Linked DNA regions of Sus scrofa. The protein of the gene in region 1 interacts with the protein of each later gene in a pairwise test. Links are inferred from orthologs where the notes say so. Each region holds a gene or a part of one and is shown in the gene's direction. Other genes may lie near its edges. The genes, in order: SDCBP2 and TNP1.

What was found.
Region 2: the proteins of SDCBP2 (region 1) and TNP1 interact in binary tests that used the Homo sapiens proteins (3 or more experiments, as listed by UniProt). The two-hybrid records come from large-scale screens. The link is inferred for Sus scrofa from reciprocal best matches to the Homo sapiens genes SDCBP2 and TNP1.

What each region holds. Positions count from the first base shown.
Region 1 is NC_010459.5:33,976,998-33,980,818, forward strand, and holds part of SDCBP2 (syntenin-2), read left to right. Parts: exon of another isoform or gene 1-117; intron 118-276; exon of another isoform or gene 277-332; 5' UTR 333-351; coding exon 352-405; intron 406-1,055; coding exon 1,056-1,122; intron 1,123-1,728; coding exon 1,729-1,829; intron 1,830-3,821.
Region 2 is NC_010457.5:119,036,963-119,039,809, reverse strand, and holds TNP1 (spermatid nuclear transition protein 1), read left to right. Parts: upstream 1-1,710; 5' UTR 1,711-1,749; coding exon 1,750-1,888; intron 1,889-2,084; coding exon 2,085-2,113; 3' UTR 2,114-2,318; downstream 2,319-2,847. UniProt on the Homo sapiens protein: Plays a key role in the replacement of histones to protamine in the elongating spermatids of mammals.

The sequences.
Region 1 (3,821 bases):
TGTTGGACTGAATCTAGGTCTTGAGTGATCAGACCTCAGAAGCCTGTCTGGCCTTTGAAACGCGGCCCCTCATCCTGCTTTGCCTGGTCAGCCTGTCTGGGGTGATCTCTGGCCCAGGTTCGAAAGCCCAGACTCTGCGGAACGTGATGGGCTGGGATTCTGCAGGGATGGAGAGCTTGGGTCCAGGAACTAAACAGACTTTGGGTCAGATCTCAGCTGCCCCATCTCTAAAATGGGGATAGTAACACCTTCCTGACGTCTTTCTCATCCTGACAGTGCTGAGTGACGTCCATCCGAGCCTCCTCTCACCCCTCACCCTCTGTGCCCTGCAGTGTGTTCCAAAGAGCAGCCATGTCCACCCTGTACCCATCTCTGGAGGACCTGAAGGTGGACCAAGCCATGCAGGTAAACCGCCAGGCTGTTCACTGAGTCCCCTGATGGGGCCCTGGGGATTATCCCAGGGTAACTAAGGGGGACTTGTCTTGGGTCAAGTGTTGTGGGCCCCTGGGAGTTCCTGATAGGCCCCAAGGCCCATGGGCCCCCTCTGCAGGGCCTGCTGGGCAAAGCAGGTGTCTAGAGGCTGAGGCAAGGCAGTTACAGCAGAAATGGAGAAACCAAAGGGCTGCAGACAGACCTGTCTCGTGCCAGCCCCACCCTAGCGCTTCCTCCACCCAAGCTCGGGCAGACCCCACGCTCTAAGACAAGCTTCCAGAGGAGACCCCAGCGTCTGGTCTACTCAGCCCAGAAACCCCTTCCTCTTTCCATCCCACATGATGTCCTAGTGGGTTTTGAGCACTGGGGACTTTTTGACTGAGAATTTGTCTGGCTGCCTCAGGTGGTAAATAAGCCGTGACATCTGGGGGATCATGGGCCCCAGGAGAACCCCCTTCCAGAAGCACGGACATCTCCAGAGGCCACATTTTCACAAAGGGTCATGAACACCCCTCCCCCTGGCCCACCAGCATTCCTAATGCCCTAACCCCCAGCTCCAGGGAGCCCCAGGCTCCAGGGGCTCTGGGGGTCTCGGCCACAGCTGACCCCTCCTTCCTCCCCAGGCCCAGGCCAGAGTCGTCCCCAGGATGCCCGCCCTGCCAGTGCCAGAACATGACTCCCGGCCTCCAGGTGAGTGGCCTGGGTGCTCCAGGCTGAGAGTGACCTCTCCTGGCCATTTCCCAGTGCCAGCCTCTTGCCTGCCACTGAGGAAGCTGCAGCTCTGCAAGGGCACCCGCTGCCCTGACTTGGGGCCCCAAAGAAGGCTGCATGAGGAGACCAGGATGGGTGTGGTGGCCCTGGAGTTGCTTGTGGCCGCCTCGATTCAGGTCCTGTGGTAGCGAACTTGAACTCAGGACCAGCTCTTGCCCTCCTCGCCATGCAGTTTCCCGGAGCTGACCTGGGGTGGGACGCCTGCCTCCGGCAGCACGGGTGCTGTCCTTTGTGTTTGATGTCTGGCTGATGCCAAATAAAGTCATTTGAGTTGAACCAAAGTGGTACCTGAGGGAGGTTCCAGGCCACTCCTGGAGAAAGCGGACGGTCATTGTCACTGCCAGCGAGCGATCCCAGGGATGCAGCGTGCTCTCAAGGGTATGCTGCATTCTCGCGAGTAAACAGCATCCCCAGGCCTGGTTTCTTCATAAAAATGAGTGACCGCCTGGGAGCCAGGTGGGTGTGGCTAAGCTCATGCCCAGGGTAACACATTTTTTCTTCCTTCCTCCCTTCCCTTCCCATCAGTTTTGTACCCAAACCTGGCGGAATTGGAAAATTATATGGGTCTTTCCCTCTCCAGCCAAGAAGTCCAGCAGAACCTGCCTCAGATTCCAGAAGGGGCCAGGGTAGGTATCTGTCTCTTGGTATCCCTCCTTCTTGGTCTTGCCATTTAAACAGACTTGAAACAATCCTTCCCCAGCATTGCTGTGCCTCTGTTTCTTGATGGCACTTTTCTTTTCTTTTTTTTTTTTTTTTTTTTTTTTTTTTTTTTGTCTTTCTGCTATTTCTTGGGCCGCTCCGACGGCATATGGAGGTTCCCAGGCTAGGGATCGAATCGGAGCTGTAGCCACCGGCCCACGCCAGAGCCACAGCAACGTGGGATCCGAGCCGCGTCTGTAACCTACACCACAGCTCACGGCAACGCCGGATCGTTAACCCACTGAGCAAGGGCAGGGACCGAACCCGTAACCTCATGGTCCCTAGTCGGATTCGTTAACCACTGCACCACGACGGGAACTCCTCACTTTTCATTTTTGAGTCTTCGTTTTAAGGGCTGTGAGATTTTGTGGTTTTCCATGGGCCTTGGGGCTGGAGGGCTGCTGCCTGCTCTTTGACCTCTGACCTGCCGGCCTGAGCCTGCTGGATGAGAAAGGAGGGCATTAAACCAGGCCTGAGCCCAGGCATTTTTAATGAAGAGCGGCCTGTGACTTGAGAGAAGATGTATTTTTTTTTTTTTTTTTTGAGTTCCCATTGTGGCTCTGTGGTAACATACCCGACTGGTATCCATGAGGATGTGGGTTCGATTTCTGGCCTCGCTCAGTGGGTTAGGGATCTGGTGCTGCTGCAAGTTGCACTGTAGGTTGCAGATGCGGCATGGATCCTGCATTGCTGTGGCTGTGGTGCAGGCTGGCAGCTGCAGCTCCAACTTGACCCCTCGCCTAGGAACTTCCATGTGCCGCAGGTGCAGCCATAAAAAGATAAAACAACAACAAAGCAGGCATTTTACATTGATACAATGTGTGTCTAAGGTTCTAGGTCATTTTATCCCTGGAAACTATCAACATAATCAAGATATAGAACGAGGTCATCACTGCAAAGCTCTCTCTTGTGTGGCCCCTTCGTAATCATGCCCAGCCTCCCCTCACCAGCCCCAGTCCCCGGCAACCATGAGCATGTTTTTGTCCCTATAATTTTGCCATTTCAGAAGGTTATGTAAGTGGCATCACATAGTGTGTGACCTTTTCAGACAGGCTCTTTCCACTCGGCATCATGCCCCAGAGATCTCTCCAGGCTGTTGTGTGTATCAACTCTTCATGCCTTTTAATTGCTTGGTTGTGTTCCCTGGTATGGATGTAGCCTGGTTTGTTTCACCCATTAAGGGACATTTTAGTTGTTTCTAAGACTAAGCTATTATGGATGTTTGTGCCCAGCTTTTTGTACAGACCTAAGTTTTCGTTTCTCTGGGATAAATGTCCAGGAGTGCAATTGCTAGATAGTGTGATAAATATACGTCTAACCTTTTTTTTTTTTTGGTCTTTTTGTCTTTTTAGGGCTGCCCCTGTCACATCTGGAGGTTCCCAGGCTAGGGGTCGAATCAGAGCTACAGCTGCCGGCCTACCCCATAGCCATAGCCACATCTGCGACCTACACCACAGCTTGAGGCAATACGGGACCCTTAACCCACTGAGCGAGGCTAGGGATAGAACCAGCAACCTCATGGTTCCTAGTGGGATTCGTTTCCACTATACCATAATGGGAACTCTTTTTTTTTTCTTTTTTTTTAAAGAAACTTTTTCCAGGAGTTTCCGTCATGGCTCAGTGGTTAACAAATCCGACTAGGAACCGTGACGTTGCAGGTTTGATCCCTAGCCTTGCTCAGTGGGTTAAGGGTCCGGCGTTGCCGGGAGCTGTGATGTAGGTCGAAGATGCAGCTTGGATCTGACGCTGCTGTGGCTGTGGTGTAGGCCAGCAGCTTACAACTCTGATTCGACCCCTAGTCTGGGAACCTCCATATGTCATGGATGCGGCCCTAGAAAAGACAAAAAGACCAAAAAAAACCTCTTTCCAGAGTGGCTGTGCCATTTTATTTTCCTGCCAGCAATGCATGACTGTTTCAA
Region 2 (2,847 bases), on another chromosome or scaffold:
TCTACTCTGAGCTCCATACCCATGTACCCAGCAATCTTCAATATCTCTGGAAGTCTCAAAGGCACCTCAAACCCAAAATGTCTTAGACCAAAATGATGACAATCACAGACCCTATGCTTGGCCTTTGTCCCAGTGAGTAGCACCAGCATCTAAATAGCTACCTTACAAAATAATAAAACCTACTTCCCTCACCCTCTGCTCTCTTCAACCAAATCCAATCCATCACCAAGTCCTTATCTCCTATCTATAGCTCTGCATTCTAATCCCTTTACCCATTTCACCTCCCCATCAATCCATTCTCCATCCAGCAGCCTCTAATCTCATCATATCTTCCCCTTAAACATTTTCCCATGGCTTCCCAATGTACTTAAGCCTGGTCTGGTGTCTGCCTTTCCTCCCAACCTCATCTTGCCCCATATCGAGAAGTGATTATTCATTGATCTATGTTGGCCTGATAATGGGTTTCTCTTCCACTAGGCTGAGAGTGCCATGAACACAGTCTATGTCTGTTTTTACTCACTAATATTTTCCTAGCACTTAAGTGCATGGTACATACTACATGATTAATAAATACTTGCAGACTGAATTTTTTAAATGGCTAAACCAGTGGTTCTCAGCAAAGGGTGAATTTTGCTCCTCCCCACAAGGCAATCTCTGGAAACATTTTTGATTGTCACAGCTGCAGGGGCTGTACTGGCATCTAATGGGTACAGGCCAGGAATTCTGCCAAAACATCCTACCATACATAAGACAATATGAGAATTAGGAAAAGGAAACCTCAACTAAGATCGGAGTTAAGTACCCATAGAGGGAGCTCTCACACTCTACCACTCAGGGTCAATTACCCCCCAACAGGATGGTATCAGTTACTGATTCCAACAGGAAGACATCAGGTACTGACCCCAATAGGAAGTGTAACTACTTTACTACCCCAGCAAAAGGAAGGAAGACTTCCATTGCCCAGCAACAAGCCCAGCCAATGGAAAAGTTCACAACACAGCCAATGAGAGCCATCACCACCTGCCCTTTTACTTTCCTCCAATGAGCTCTCATTGTTTCCTTGTTGAGGACTTCCTTTCCTGCCTGGCTCTCCTTACTGTAAAAGGCTTCCTTGTGGTGCAACCCCTTGGAGTATCTCTCTGTTTGCCAGAGGAGATGCTGCCTGATTCATGAATTATTTAATAAAGCCAGTTAGGTCTTCCAACTTACTCAGTTAAATTTTGTTTTTTAACAACAGTCCCGCATATCCAACCCATAGCGCCAGCTGTGCTCAAGAGTTAGATGAAAGAGAAGAATATTTACATTTTGGTAGTATTGAATTGGATTTCCTAAAGTCCTTAAAGAAACACATTTGTTATCTTCCAATGCTGTAAAGGGAGACAAACAGGATGCATATACACATACTCAACAACCACTAAATCTCCAATAGGCAGGCGACATCTGTTTTAATGGTTCTTATACTCTCCAGATACCTAGCACAGGGCTGGAATTTAGGTGCTCAACAACACCTGTCTGGAAAATCTCCTAATATCAAAAAAGACCTCAAAATTGAGAGTAGATTTGATCTGCATTAGCAAGGCCACCTTATTTCACCTATATTACCAAAGGGTAATAAAGGGTAGTGACGTCACAATGAGCCTGCCGCCTGCTAAGCCACGCCCCCTGCACAGTCACAATGGCTAAGGCCTTAAATACCCAGACTCCTGGCCCCCTGGCCCTGCAAAGCCCCTCATTTTGGCAGAAAGTACAATGTCGACCAGCCGCAAGTTAAAGAGCCATGGCATGAGGAGGGGCAAGAACCGCGCTCCTCACAAGGGAGTTAAGAGAGGTGGCAGCAAAAGAAAATACCGGAAGGGCAGCCTGAAGAGTAGAAAACGGTGCGATGATGGTGAGTGAGGGATGAGTGGGAGAGCTGTCAGACAAGGGGCATCCTGTCGCCCCAGGGCCCTCCCTGTAGGAGTCAGCACTCATGGGACCCTGAAACCTCAGGCTAAGTTCATTTTCCATTAGGTTCCTATGTGGGCAGGAAGAGGATGAATATGTTCTAACTGGTGTTGTTGGTGCAAACTTATCTTTTCCTACAGCCAATCGCAATTACCGCTCCCACTTGTGACTCCACCAGCGGCTCTCCCCTGGTAGACTTCAAGGACACCAGGCAGCAACAGAGAACAGAAGGAGGACTACCAAGGAGACCTGAAGTTAGGTCAATGCCAGAGAAGAGCCTATCATGTGGGTAAAATGCCAGTTGCGACAAAATGAGGAATGTATATGTTGGCTGTTTCTCTCCAACATCTCAATAAAATTTTGAAAACTGAAAAGTATGTTTCCTTTGCTCTTTTGGTTGGACAGTGGTTTCCCTAGCTGGGCAGACTTGGGGGAAAATTAGCAGATATACCATGAAACATGACATGGAAAATATCAGAGTAATTTGTCTTTGTAGCTCTCTCCCCAGCTTGGGCCATGCATCAGCACCATGTAGAGGTCTTATTCTCAAGGTACTGTCTACCTCCCCAACATGGAAAGGGGAGATAAAAGGAGAAATGGGAGACATACAATACAATTATGAAGCAAAGGGTACAAGGGGACTAGAACATGGAAACACCAAACCATGAGCTAAAGCTAAAGACATGGCTCAGGAGTTCCCGTCATGGCTCAGCAGTTAATAAACCCCACTAGTATCCATGAGGGCATGGGTTTAATCCCTGGCCTCACTCAGTGGGTTAAGGATTTGATGTTGCCATGAGCTGTGGTGTAGGTCACAGACAATTCGACCCCTAGTCTGGGAATCTCCATTTGCCGCGAGTGCGGCCCTAAAAAGACAAAAAATTAGACATGGCTCAGAGGATA